Struthio camelus: one gene and its partner. The protein of the gene in region 1 interacts with the protein of each later gene in a biochemical or structural test. Links are inferred from orthologs where the notes say so. Each region holds a gene or a part of one and is shown on either strand. Other genes may lie near its edges.

Region 1 (7,411 bases):
ATTACCCTCCCATTACTCCTCAATAACCCCCCCCCCCATTACCCCCGGGCATCCCTGTTACCCTCCCCATTACCCCGGGGACCCTCATTACACCCCCCCCATTACCCTTGGGTAGTGCTGTCCCCCCCCCCATTGTCCCCTCTGTTACCCCTGGGCCCCCCCATGTTAATCTCAGTTCCCCCCCCCACCCCAGGGACCCTCATTACTTCTCTATTACCCCCTGTTACCCCTGGGTATCCCCATTACCCCCTCATTATCCTGGGGACCCTCATTACCCCCCCCATTACCCTGGGGACCGCTGTTCCCCCCCCCCCATTACCTCCTGTTTCTTCCTCGTTACCCTGGGGATCCTCATTACCCCCCGTTACCCCCCATTTCCCCCCCCATTACCCCTGGGGACCCCCATTATACCCCCCATTTCCCCCCCCCATTACCCCTGGGGACCCCCATTATACCCCCCATTTCCCCCCCCATTACCCCTGGGGACCCCCATTATACCCCCCATTTCCCCCCCCATTACCCCTGGGGACCCCCATTATACCCCCCATTTCCCCCCCCATTACCCCTGGGGACCCCCATTATACCCCCCATTTCCCCCCCCATTACCCCTGGGGACCCCCATTATACCCCCCATTTCCCCCCCCATTACCCCTGGGGACCCCCGTTACCCCCCATTACTTCCGCATTACCCCTGGGGACCCCCGTTACCCCCCATTACCCCGGGGGAGTCCTGTTCCCCTCCATTACTCCCCTGTTACCCCTGGGGACCCCTGTTACCCCCATTACCCCTGGGCATCCCTGTTCACCCCATTCCCCCTCGTTACCCCTGGGGACACCCGTTACCGTCTGTTACCCTTGAACACCCCCCCTTACCCTCCTTTACCCCCTGTTACCCCAGGGACCCCCCATTACCCCCCGGTTACCCCTCTGTTACCCCATCCCGTTACCCCATCCCATTACTCCGTTACCCCTGGGCATCCCCGTTACCCCGGGGACCCCCATTACTGCCGTTACCCCCCATTACCCCCCTTCCCCCACTTACCCCTGGGGACCCCCATTACCCCCCCCACTACTCCGTGTTACCCCTGGGACCCCTGTTACCCCTGAGCATCCCCATTACCCCCCCCCATTACCCCTGGAGACCTCTGTTATCCCTCCCTTATTGCCCCCCCATCACCCTCTATCATCCCCCTGGTACCCTCCCTGTTACCCCTTGTTCTCCCCTGGTTCCCCCCCCCACTTTAGCTTTTGGGCCCCTGTTACCCTCCTGTTACCTCTCGGTACCCCCGTTACCCTCCCATTAACCCCTCAGGACCCGTGTTACTCTCTTGTCCCCCCCGTTATCCTCCTTGTTACCCCTTGTTACCACCTTGTTACCCCCGTTATTCCCGTGTTACCCCGTTGTTACCCCGTTACCCTTCCTTACCCTGCAGCAACCTCTGTATCACCCCCGTTACCCTCGTGCACCCCATTACCCCCATCATTTCCTCGTTTCCCCTTTTCTGCCCGCTTCTCCGCTGTTACCTCCCTTTTACCCCCTCGTTACCCTTCATTAGTCCCTCGTTACCCCTGTTTCCCCCTTTTCTGCCCCTTGCTCCCCTGTTATCCCCCTGTTGTTACCCCGTTATTCGTCGTGCCCCTTGTCCCCCCCGTAACCCCTTTGTTACTCTGTGTTAGTATTTCTTTCTCCTTTTTGTGCCCGTTACTGCCTTATTACTCTTTTCTTCGTTGTGCTGTTTCCCCATCCCTCCTTTACAACCCCTTCGTTACCCCTCGTTACTCTGTTACTCCCCCATTCCCCCATTTTCTGCTCGTTACTCCCCCGTTACTCTCTTCCCTTATTACTGTTTTTCTGACCCTGTCGTTACTCCTTGTTACTCTGTGTTACTTCCCCGTTTCCCCCTTTTTGCCTGTTGTCCCCTCCTACCCTCCTTGTTCGCTTGTTACCCTGCTTCTACCCTGTTCGTCTTCTGTAATCTTTTTGTTACTCCTCGTTACTCCGTGTTACTCCCCCGTTTGCCCACTTTCTGCCCGTCGGTCCGGCGTCGCCGTTCTTTCATCCTTCGTTTGCCCCTTTCCCTGGTTGTTACCTTGTTTTCGTCATTATTGTCTTATAACCTCCTTGTTACTCTGTGTTACTCTGTGTTACTGCCCCATTAGCCCCCTTTTGTCCCCCTGCAATCCCTGTTACTTCTCTATGACTGTCTTGTTACTTCATGTTACTCTTGTCCCCCCCCCCCCACCTTTTTTTCTTCCCTCGTCGCCACCTGTTTTCCTATTACTCTTTTGTGGCTGCACTGTTACTCTTTGTTACCCTGTGTTACTCCCCCCCCCCCCAATTTTTTGTTTTACTCCCCTGTTAGCTCTCTTTTCCCTTTCCTACCCACCATTACTCTAAGTCACATGTTACTCCATGTTACTCCACGTTACCTCCCCATTCCCCTTTCGTTATCCCCCGTATTCCAGTTGCTCTCGTATAACCCCCTTGTTACTGCTGGTTACTCTGCGTTACTCCACCATTACCCCCCTTTCCTCCCCCCCGTAGCGCCTGCTGCTTGTTACCCTATGTTACTTCCCGTCCCCCCTTTTCCGCTCGTTACTCCCTTCTCCCCTTTGTTACCCTGCTCTTTGTTGTTCTTTTACCGCCCCTTGTTACTCTGTGTTACTCCCACGGTCCCCCTCCTCTGCCTTTCTCCCCTGCTGGCTCCCTTTTTCCGCCTTGTAACCGCTGTTACTCTTTCTCGAGTAGCGTGACTGCGTTGTTACTCTGCATTACTCTCCCGTTCCCCTTTTCTCACCTTGTTACTGCTCCTTTTTATTTTATTATTCTGTATTTTTATGTTACTCTTGCTTTGCTGCTTTATTAGTTCACGTTACTCTGTTACTGCGTCATTAGCTCCTCCTGCTTTGTAACCAGCGTTACTCTCTTAATAACACCTTGTTACCCCCTATTACTTCCCCATTCCCCCCCTTTCCCCTCGTTACTCCCCCGCTGCCCCCTTCCCCCCGGCCTTTCCCAGTCCCATTACAGCCCGTTTCGCTGTTACCCTTTTATAACACCCCTAATTATTCCCCGTTACTCCTTGTTACTCCCTGTTACGCCATCATTTTCGTGTTTCCCCCTCATCTCGCATTACTCCTTGTTCCCCTGTTACTTCCTAATGCTCAGTGTTGCTTCCTCTTCCCCCATTCTGCCCTGATACCCACTGTTACTTGACGTTACTCCCTGTTACTCCCTCATTTTCCTGTCACCCCTCATCCCTGCATTACTCCCTGTTACCCCCCATTGCTCAGCGTTGCTCCCTGTTCCCCCCATTTCTCCCTGACAGCTGCTGTTACTCGATGTCACTCCTTGTTACTTCCTGTTACTATCTCATTTTCCTATTCAGCTCTCACCCCGCGTTACTCCCCATTTCCCCCTCATTACCCCCCCAATGCCCAGCGTTACTCCCCCTTTCCCCATCCCGCCCGGATACCCGTTGCTACTCAATGTTACTCCTTGTTACTCCCTGTTACTCCCTCATTTTCCTATCACCGCTCACCCCGCGTTACTCCGTTACCCCCCAATGCCCGGCTTTGCTCCGTCTTCCCCGTCCTGCCCTGATACCTGCTGTTACTTGACGTTGCTCCTTGTTACTTCCTGTTACTATCTCATTTTCCTATTTAGCTCTCACGCCTTGTTACTCCCCGTTTCCCCCTTGTTACCCCCCTAATGCCAGTGTTGTTCCCTCTCCCACCCGTCCCGCTGTCATACCTGCTGTTACTTGGCGTTACTCCTCGTTACTCCCTGTTACTCTCTCATGTTCCTGTTCACCCCTCACCCTGCATTACTCCCCGTTGCCACCCAATGCTCAGCATTGCTCCCTCTTCCCCCCACCCCGCCCTGATACCTGCTGTTACTTGGTGTTACTCCTTGTTACTTGCTGTTACTATCTCATTTTCCTATTCAGCTCTCACCCCGCGTTACTCCCCATTTCCCCCTCGTTACCCCCCAATGCCCAGCGTTACTCCCTCTTTCCCCGCCCCGCCCTGATACCCGCTGTTACTTGATGTTGCTCTTTGTTACTCCCTGTTACCCCCTCATTTTCCTGTTCACCCCTCGCCCCTTGTTACTCCCCGTTACTCCCCAATGCTCAGCGTTGCTCCCTCCCCCCCACCCCCTGGATACTCACTGTTACTCTACGTTACTCCTTGTTACTCCCTGTTACTCACCGCGACTCCCGGTCGCGCTCTGCTCCTCAGCGTCACCGGCCAGCGCTCCGGGCGGCCCCGTCCGGCCGGCGCCATGTCGGGGGCGGGGGGCAAGCGGGCGGCGGGCGAGGGGGGCGCCGGCCCCCCCGAGAAGAAGGCGCCGCGCGACGAGCAGCCCCCGACCACCCTCATCGAGCCCCTGCGCCTCGGCGGCATCTCCTCCACGGTGGGTACCCGCTGCGCGCCCCCGGACGCCTGGGTCCCCTCTCTCCCCCGGACACCTGGGTCCCCCCTCTTCCCCCCCCCTCCCCCCCGGGCGCCTGGGTCCCCCCCTCCCCCCCGGGCGCCTGGGTCCCCCCCCCGGACGCCTGGGTCCCCTCTCCCCCCCCCCCCCGGGCGCCTGGGTCCGTCCCCCCCACCCCGGACGCCTGGGTCCCCTCTTCCCCCCCCCCCCCCCACCCGGACGCCTGGGTCCATCCTGCCCCCGGACGCCTGGGTCCCCCCCCCCCCCCCCCCGGGCGCCTGGGTCCCCTCTTCCCCCCCCCCCCCCCCCCCCAACCCGGACGCCTGGGTCCTTCTCACACCCGGACGCCTGGGTCCCCTCTCCCCCCCTGCACACCCGGTCGCCTGGGTCCATCCTGCCCCCGGACGCCTGGGTCCCTTCTCCTCTCCCCCCTCCCCCCTGCCAGACACCTGGGTCCCCTGGGGTGGCCAGACCTTCCCAGGCCCGGACACCTGGGCCCCCCAGACACCTGGGTCCCCTGGGGTGGCCTGAACCTGGTGGGTGCCCGGACGCCTGGGCCCCGCGGATTGGCCGGGATGCCAGGACACCTGGGTCCCCCAGAGGCCTGGGTCCTCTGAGGTCACCTGAGCATGATGGGTGCTGGGACACCTGGGCCCCCCGGACACCTGGGCCCCCCAGAGTGGCCTGAGCTTGGCCGGGATGCCAGGACACCTGGGCCCCCCGGACACCTGGGCCCCCCAGAGTGGCCTGAGCCTGGTATGGATGTTGGGACGCCTGGGTGCCCCGGACACCTGGGCCCCCCAGAGCGGCCTGAGCTTGGCCGGGATGCCAGGACGCCTGGGTCCCCCGGACACCTGGGCCCCCCAGAGCGGCCTGAGCCTGGCAGAGGCGGAAGGTGGGGTGGGGGGGGGGACCCCGGGTTGCCGGGGGTGGGGGGGCGCCGCGGGAGGCTGACGGCGCGCCCGGACGCCTGGGCCCCGCAGGAGGAGATGGACCTGAAGGTGCTGCAGTTCAAGAACAAGAAGCTGGCGGAGCGGCTGGAGCAGCGGCAGGCGTGCGAGGACGAGCTGCGCGAGCGCATCGAGAAGCTCGAGAAGCGCCAGGCCACCGACGACGCCACCCTCCTCATCGTCAACCGCTACTGGGGCCAGGTGGCGTGTCCCCCCCCCCCCCCCAAAACCCCATCCCTGACCCCAAATTGCATCCTGGCACCCCAAAATCCCGTCCCCGAACCCCAAACCCCATCCTGACACCCCAAAATCCTGTCTTCCAGCCCCAAAATCCCATCCCGGGGCCCCAAAGTCCTGTCCCCGAACCCCAAACCCCATCCCGGCACCCCAAAATCCTGTCTTCCACCCCCCAAAATCCTGTCCTGACCCCCCAAAATCCCGTCCCCGAACCCCAAACCCCATCCTGACACCCCAAAATCCTGTCTTCCAGCCCCAAAATCCCATCCTGACGCCCCAAAGTCCTGTCCCCGAACCCCAAACCCCATCCCGGCACCCCAAAATCCTGTCTTCCACCCCCCAAAATCCTGTCCTGACCCCCCAAAATCACGTCCCCGAACCCCAAACCCCATCCTGACACCCCAAAATCCTGTCTTCCAGCCCCAAAATCCCATCCCGGGGCCCCAAAGTCCCGTCCCCGAACCCCAAACCCCGTCCCGGCACCCCAAAATCCTGTCTTCCACCCCCCAAAATCCTGTCCTGACCCCCCAAAATCCTGTTTTTGAACCCCCAAATCCCACCCTGACACCCCAAAATCCTGTCTTCCAGCCCCAAAATCCCATCCCGGGGCCCCAAAGTCCCATCCCCGAACCCCAAATCCCATCCCGGCACCCCAAAATCCTGTCTTCCACCCCCCAAAATCCTGTCCTGACCCCCCAAAATCCCGTCCCCAAACCCCAAACCCCATCCTGACACCCCAAAATCCTGTCTTCCAGCCCCAAAATCCCATCCTGGGGCCCCAAAGTCCTGTCCCCGAACCCCAAACCCCGTCCCGGCACCCCAAAATCCTGTCTTCCACCCCCCAAAATCCTGTCCTGACCCCCCAAAATCCTGTTTTTGAACCCCCAAATCCCACCCTGACACCCCAAAATCCTGTCTTCCAGCCCCAAAATCCCATCCCGGGGCCCCAAAGTCCCGTCCCCGAACCCCAAATCCCATCCCGGCACCCCAAAATCCTGTCTTCCACCCCCCAAAATCCCGTCCCCAAACCCCAAACCCCATCCTGACACCCCAAAATCCTGTCTTCCAGCCCCAAAATCCCATCCTGGGGCCCCAAAGTCCTGTCCCCGAACCCCAAACCCCATCCTGGCACCCCAAAATCCTGTCTTCCACCCCCCAAAGTCCTGTCCTGACCCCCCCAAATCCTGTTTTTGAACCCCCAAATCTCATCCTGGCACCCCAAAATCCTGTCTTCCAGCCCCAAAATCCCATCCCGGTGCCCCAAAGTCCCGTCCCCGAACCCCAAACCCCGTCCCCGAACCCCAAACCCCGTCCCGGCACCCCAAACCCCGTCCCGGCACCCCAAAATCCTGTCCTGACCCCCCAAAATCCTGTCCTGACCTCCTAAAATCCTGTTTTTGAACCCCCAAACCCCATCCTAACACCCCAAAATCCTCTCTTCCAGCCCCAAAATCCCATCCCGGGGCCCCAAAGTCCTGTCCCCGAACCCCAAACCCCGTCCCGGCACCCCAAAATCCTGTCTTCCACCCCCCAAAATCCTGTCCTGACCCCCCAAAATCCTGTTTTTGAACCCCCAAATCCCACCCTGACACCCCAAAATCCTGTCTTCCAGCCCCAAAATCCCATCCCGGGGCCCCAAAGTCCCGTCCCCGAACCCCAAATCCCATCCCGGCACCCCAAAATCCTGTCTTCCACCCCCCAAAATCCTGTCCTGACCCCCCAAAATCCCGTCCCCGAACCCCAAACCCCATCCTGACACCCCAAAATCCTGTCTTCCAGCCCCAAAATC
Region 2 (7,597 bases), on another chromosome or scaffold:
GACAAAATACAGTACTTAGAAAATTTAAAACAGGTTTCAAAATTCAGTCAGTATTTAGGATTTTTTTAAACAGGAACCGTTACCATTTTTAATTAAAAAGAAAACCCTACCCTTTCCTGTTCTAACATCAGTTAAGAAATCACTGGGCATATTAATACTATCTATAATATCCTGTAAAAATACAACAAGCTAGCTGACTTAACTGTGAACATTTCCCTTCCAAGCTCCTGCCGAGAAAGACTCCAGTAAGCGCTAACTTGGATTGTTATTTTCTGATTGTTAAGTTCTACACAGCAGCTAGAAAAAGCAGCAGCTTGTTTCCATTTTTGTGGAGTTTAGTCTATAAAGTGCTCAACTACACAGTATATCATTACAATACACAGAATTATTAAAAATAATAGCACTAGAATATAGTTTTTAAAATAGCAAACATTTGTCAGTGGTAAACCTAGAATACTATTTTATATTACTGAATATTGCAGCAGCATATCTAAATTAAACCTAACTCAGACATACCAGTTAAAAAAAAAAAAAAAAAAAAGATAAGTTTATTTAATCTTTGTGGCCTTAACAAAAACTACCACACCTGTAAAAATAAGAAAATTAAATGATTATTTCCAAAGGAACTGCCATTTTGGTTTCAGTGTAGTCTTCCAAGCATCAGGCACACCACTGAGTATACAGCTCTCCTCATGTCAGTGATAACTGCTAATTTGTAATATTTCTGAGAAATTAGCAATCGCTTAAATAAAGGTTAATTAAAGATAACTCACCACCATCCCTCTCTCTAACTCTGTGAGTATGCACACTTTTTGCTTTAGCGTGCCCTGTGTTGTCACCGTATTTGTTTTCAGGGCTATCAGATCGCCGCAACATTTTATTTGGTGGTGAAGGATCTGTGGTGTCTCGCATCTTGTCATGACGGTGATCACCACCACTGGGGTGACCCTTGGATGAGTATTTAAGAGCCTGTAACACACAACAAGAGAATAGGCATTTATATTCGACTTAAAGTTACAGAAGAGATCTTAAAGTGATATTTTTAAATTTTAAATTCTCTTTCCAGAATACATTTTAAAGTTAATTAATTTTCATTTCCCATTTCAATAATCATCATTAGCCTTTCTGGTTTTAATTACCTACATGAAAGCAACAAGTTCTGTCATTAGAATTCAAACCATTTTCTCCCACTATGATATCCAGTATCACATTTGCTGTTAAGATAAATCTAACTTATTTATCTTTTCACTGGCAGACTACATACTTTCAGCAGCAAATGGGCCACAGCATTTCTGACATTTGTGGAAGAAGCAGAAATCTCTAGTTAGCATTAAAACGATGAGCAAAAAGTTATATTGAATCAGTGTAAACTTTGAATATACGTCCTCCATCTTGCAACTGAGGCAACTTAACTTCACCTCTACCTGGAACTTCTGCAAGCTTTACTTCAGTACAAGCATCTCCGTAACAGAAGTAACAACAAACCTAGAATTCTGGGGACCCACAACATGGAATATGAAAGTTAATTTGGAAATATTTACCAAAAATGACACATTCTGCACGTCTTTGACCTGCGTGATTTTGCAGCGTGAACTTCTGAGTGGCAACTGTTTACATTTACGTGAACTGTCACTGACAGCTGCCTTCGACTGTCAGGTTACATTTCAGTGATACAAATACACAGAAGTGTAATAAAACAACAGCTCAGTTATTTGCCCTAAGGAGAGCAATACCACAATATGCAAGCATTCCCCAGATTCACACCCTCAGAACTAAATTTCTCAGTAGGCAAAGCAGAGGAACGTAGCATCCCTTACAGAAATTAAGGCTCGTCTCAGCAGTTCAAGGATTTGATAGTGGTTTCTGACCATAGCTAGCAGCTGGCAACTGCAGAAATTAGGCCTTACTGGCAACCCCCGTTATTCAGCGTCTAAAATCATGCCCTGCTCAGGTTACAATCCACAGCAGCAGTTTTGGGGAGAAGAGAGGACTTGGGGAGGGGGGCGGGGGAAGAACAAGATGCCTTTTGTTTTTAAAAGGAAAACACTCACCTCCCCCTGGATCTCCACTTACTGCAAGTGACCCCGACTCGCTCTCCCGCCCCTCCTAGCCAGCCCTCCCCGACTCCTAGGCCCAGGCCGTACACGGGCTGTACTAGGCCTCTCCTCCTCGCCCAGGCCCCACAGGCCCCAGACGGGAGCCGCAGCCCCGTCCTCTGCGCACGCAGCCGCCGCCGCCTCCCCCGGCTCCCCCGGGCCCGAAGAGGCGCTGAGGGACGGGGCCGAGGAGGCTGTTGCACCGCGGCCTGCGGCGGCGGCCGAAGCCTACGCTGGAGTAGCTGCCCCCTCCCTTCCCCTCCCCTGCTCCTCCTCCTGGGCCTAGCGGCCGGCGCTTTAGGTACCTGGTAGGGCTGCGAGTCCCCCCTGCGGTCGTGACAGCTAAAGAGAAAGCGAGAGAAAGAGAGAGAGAGAGAGAGAGAGACAGAGAGAGAGACGTTAGCGAACAACCGTTACCGGCCGCCAGGGAAGGGGGCCCAAACATGGCGGAGGGGAGGGGGAGACCCCGCGGGGCAAGGGGCCGGGGGAGGAGGAGGAGGAAGGGATTTACCCATCACTGAGTCTCTGCTGTTTCCTCGCATACATTACCATCAATGCCCGGCCTGTGTGTGTGAGTGTGAGGGGACCAGGAGGGGACGGCCGCGGCCGGGCCACAGGCGCCGAGGGGGGAGGAGGGGGAGGCAGCGCTCCGCCTCGCCGCCGACCGGGGGCAGGGAGGGGGGAAGGGAGGGAGGGGGCGGCTCAGGCGGCTCGGCTGGGAGCAGCGCTCACGGGCCCATCTCCTCCGCACACGGCGAAAGGGGAGACGCCAGCAACTCGGCCCCGCGCGCGCTGAGACACTCCGGGAGCACGGACTCCGCCGCCGCCGCCGTTGCTGCCGCCGCTGCCGCCGCCTCCTCCCCCCGCTGCGCCCGCCGCCGCCGCCGCCGCCGCTCCTCCAACTACATCCGGGAAACTCGGGCGACGCCGCGCTCGGTTAACGTCGGCTCTTTTCGGCTCTTTCCGACGCGCGCCGTCCCCTCTGTCCCCTTTGCTCTCGGGCGACTCTGCCTTCGGGAAACATCGGCTGCCTTCGCCGAGCCCAACGCCCTTCAGTCTCCCCCTTCGGCAAACATCGGCTCCTTCCGTAACTCTCTCCCCTCCCCCTTGCCGCCGGCCGGCCCGCCTCGTCCTTCTCTCGCCAACGCTACCTGTCTTCGGAAAACATCGGTTATTTCCGTAGAGAGGTTTTCACGCTCCCGTCAGGGTGACGCCGCTTTCGGAAATGCTCGGGTATTTCCGTGACCCGCGCGGCCGCCGCCGCCCTGCCCCCGCTCGCAGCGGCCGGCCGAGCAGCCGTTGGCGGGGCGCGGCCGGCTGGTTGGCGGCGGGGAGCGGAGCCCGCGCCGTCCGGCGGGCCGTGCCCCTGGGAGAGGCGGGCGGGCCGGGCTGCGAGGGAGCCGGGCCCCCGCAGGGCAGCCGGCCTCCTCGGTGGCAACCGACGGGGCGGGAACGCCAGGCAGGTGGGGGCAATAGGGGGAATTGCGAGAGAACCGGCGCGGGGGAGGGGGCAACGCCCGGCTACGAGATAGGAAAGGGAAGGTCTCCTCTTACCTCCCCCCTCCTCCCCTTCCGCCCAGGGATTTGATGTATAGTCAGGAGCCATTTTGTGTACGTTTCGCCTTCTGCGAGGAAGCGCTCGGCGGTAAAGAGGATGTTAAAATGTCCCTGGGGAGGCGATGGCGGCGCGGGTCGGGGCGCCTCCCGCGCGGCCCGGCTGCCGTGGCGGAGCCGGTTTTGTGCGACACGCGGGGACGGGGCCTCGCTCCCGGCCCCCGGGGGAGCGCGGCGAGGCCGTCGCCGCCGCGGGGGGGGTGCCTGGCCGCCTCCCGGCAGCGAGCGGAGCCTCTGCGTTTCGGCAGAGGTATAAAATCACCATCCGGGCGCCCCAGAGGCCCCAGCGGCGCCAGAGGGGTTTGCTCCGGGCAGCCCCTAGGTAGTTGGGGCGAAGCGGATGCCTCGTGCTGGGCTTGAGGAGACGGTGCCCTCTCACAGAGGCTTCTGGAGGGGGCCGGTGGTCACTGCTGAGCCCCCTCTCCCGGGAAAGGGTCACCCGGCAATTTCTGACCAAACACCCAACGTTTGAGGTACAAAGCATCATATATTCAGAACGGTATTAAGACCTTATTTAAATACAGTAAATGTAGCTTGTTATCCACAGTAGAGCGTTGCCATCACGGAGTGAAGGATCAATTTGCAGTGAAGGTAAATTTGTGGACCCTCAATTTTGCCCTGCTCCCCTTCTTGGGAAGGGAAGAAACGTGGGACACCTCAGAACTGGTATATTAAGCTTAAAACAGAGCGTTTTTCCTTATGGCTACGTCTATGCTAGTGTAGGATTGATGACAACTCTGCTACACAATTTTTGTTTCTGTTTTTTTTAATTACAGTGCAGAAGGCTGTTGCTGAGAGGAGACTTCAGGGACCAGTGGTAGAGCTCAGGGAGAGCTGTGGAGGATGACTCAGCAGGGAGCTGCTCTGCAGGGTTACAATAATGAGCTAGTGAAATGCATTGAAGACTTATGTATGCAAAAAGAAGAGCTGAACAAACAAATCCAGCAAGCGGAAGAAGAAAAAAATAAACTCCAGCATGAAATCCAAGTCCTGAGTGAGAAACTGGAGTGCGTATGTGAAAACCTAGCCCAAAAGGTAGCCTCACGGAACGAGCTTGACAAAATTCTTGCTGAAACTGAAGCTGCTTACATGAAGATTTTGGATAGTTCTAGAACTTTACTTAATGTCCTGAAGAAGGAAGTGGGAAGCTTAAAGAGTTCGCCAGAACTGAAAAGCCATGTAACCTGAAACTGTCAAATGTTTGGACTCCATAGTTCTGAAATTCCACTAGGTGAGAAATGTGGTTAGCCACAGAAGCCTCCGACAACAGTATAAGCGGAAAGGGGCTCTCTTCCAACTTTTCTATATGTTTTTCTTGTTTTTTTTAATATATCAGAAATTCTGTAGAGCCTAGATGAAATAAAGTTTTTGTTTTGCTTTAAAAAAAACCCTATGTAGTTACTTAAATCACTACAAACTATACTGCAAATAGGTAGCTGAGGCAGGTGTGAGGCTGTCAGGCTGTCAGTTTTGGTGTGAGCTGTTCTCACAGCTCTTCTGAAGATGGCAGGAAAACACTTTTACTAATCAGACTTTGGTTACCATTGAATTTCTGTTTGGTTGAATAATACTTTAAACCTGGAGAGAATGCTTTTTTTTTTTTTTTTTTTTCCTTCTTCCCCTTAGTTCTTTTACCCAAAGCCATGCATATTGCTCCGTTGTGGAATCTTACCCCATCCTTTTGTCCTTCTTTTCCTTACTTACCTGTTTAGAAAGAAACTCACTGTAAAACTAGTGGATCTGTGTAGATCAGATACTACTTGTTTTCCCTGCACAAGTATTGCTATTTATTTTGAACTGTTAGGAGCCAAATAGAAACAAACTATTTATCTCCTTCCTTTAGGAGCGTGTTCTCCATTTGGCACATGCACAGAGGCAAGCCCCTCTTTACAATCAACTCCTATTAGCTGGAATAATGGAGCAGTAAGGTGAGAAAGTAACACAGGACATCTTAGGATATAAGACTGTATATAGATTAATTCATCTTCTGAAAGTATATTCAGAACCCTCTTTAGAAGAGAATTGTGTCATGGTGAAAAACTGGTTTTGGCATAAGTGCATGCTTTCTACTTCCAGGGTACAGTGCTGCAGGCATCTATACTGTGTAAGCTGGGACCAATTAACCCACTTACAGATGATCAAAAGATGACTATGAATATTTCAATAGCTCTAGATGATCTTACAAATAGTAGAATTTAATCAAAATATTGTGTTAAATATAAAGCCGAAGAAGATAATTAGAGCTAAAAGCCAATACTAGAACTGCTAGAAACCTTATTTCTAGTGCACTTTAGCACTGTCCTGATATACTAAAAGTTTATAGTAAGGTTGTCAAGAATAGTAACACGAAATGGAGAGAAATAAATACAAACTAAAGTAGAAAATGAGATTAGAACGGGTTCTGCAGCTGTCAGGTGTTCTTACAGGTGTGGTTAAAATAAAATCTCATTTAGAGATTGGGGAGGAGGTAACAGCATGGCAGAAATCCCAATTTAATCTTGTTTTCTATTTCTAGCACTTAACCTCTCTGTGTGTTGGTGTGTATATGTGCATATATTTTGCCCTATTCGTTCAGGTACTACAGCAGTAACTTTGTTTTTAAGCAAAACTAACTTAAAAATTTGACTACTAGTCCTAAATCTTTATTCCATAGCTAGTCACTAAATTTAAAGAAGGGCAAATCTAATCTTAACAAACTTGTGCATCTCTCAAGTGCAAGTGCAAAGGGTATGTGTATATGAATAGTTTCTGACAGTAATAGCTCTTCGCCAATTATGTGAAGCAAATGTTATGTTCTTCTGATTGCCGTGCTATAACTTTTGAATAAACTTAACATGAGGGATGAGCGAGACTGGGCTAATCAACAACTTACCTGTATAACATTTCCCCTGCCTTACCTTCAGTAATGCTGAAGTGATAAAATTAGGTGAAGCCAGGGTTACTGCTATTGTTGCAACACTGCTGTATTCACGATATTGAGATAAAAACAAATTTTACTTCAGTGTCTTCAATGACTCGCATTGAAGTAAAAACAAAAGCAAAAATGTTGTTCTTTCATAGCAAAAAAGGTGATTTGACTGGATGTATTGAGGTATTTTCTCCTTACTCAGTCTGATTATAGTCATAACTACCATCAAAATAGGAAGTCTTAGGAAAACATACTATCTAAATAGCAAGGACTTTTTGTTTTACAGTTGAATGTGTAAGCTGTTTCATCTTATCTGAAAGGGAGCTTAAAATTGTCTTACTGAAAAAGAACTTGTATCATGGAAACTTCGGTTATAGGGAGTTCACAATACAGTTTTATTCTTGTATTGTCCATCTCTATTAGACAATAGTTACAGGTTTGTTTTAGAATAATCATATAGTATGAATAGGGCATCCTCTTGCTCTGTTTAGGTAGTTAAAGTGGTGTTAAGCCTTTTAAGTTGAAGTCTACTTTACAACCTTTATTGCCTCTAAATCAAGCTATTACAATGTCGAAACTAAATGACTTCAGATATTTCATCTTTTCTAAGTTACAAAAACAAGGGAAAATGACTGTCTAGTCATCTAAGCACACTGGGCTTCCCAGGTTTCAAATAGAAAGCTGGTGTCAAAATTCCATGCAGTAATCACAGTCTGTAAAATTTCTATTTAAACTCAGATTCACAAACGGAGAGCAATACACAGTATATCTCTACGGCTTGCTATTTGTAGAATAACTCCTGAGTGTGGCACTCATGAGGTAAGTGCGTCTACCGAGTTGTTACTCAAAAATAGTTCTTGCCATAATATTCTGCATTGGCACAAATGAATTTATTGTATCATTATTCAAGTGGTAAGCCTTTTTTAATGCATAGCTTTCTGTAATTTTTTTCAAGTAATATACCTCCTCACATAAATAG

Evidence for each region.
Region 2: the proteins of RNF40 (region 1) and WAC form a complex in vitro, tested with the Homo sapiens proteins (2 studies listed by BioGRID). The link is inferred for Struthio camelus from reciprocal best matches to the Homo sapiens genes RNF40 and WAC.

Annotation. Positions count from the first base shown.
Region 1 is NC_090973.1:1,072,162-1,079,572, forward strand, and holds the start of RNF40 (E3 ubiquitin-protein ligase BRE1B), read left to right. Parts: upstream 1-4,243; 5' UTR 4,244-4,285; coding exon 4,286-4,417; intron 4,418-5,418; coding exon 5,419-5,586; intron 5,587-7,411.
Region 2 is NC_090943.1:18,551,104-18,558,700, forward strand, and holds the start of WAC (WW domain-containing adapter protein with coiled-coil), read right to left. Parts: upstream 3,206-7,597; 5' UTR 2,649-3,205; coding exon 2,608-2,648; intron 2,439-2,607; coding exon 2,402-2,438; intron 970-2,401; coding exon 774-969; intron 1-773.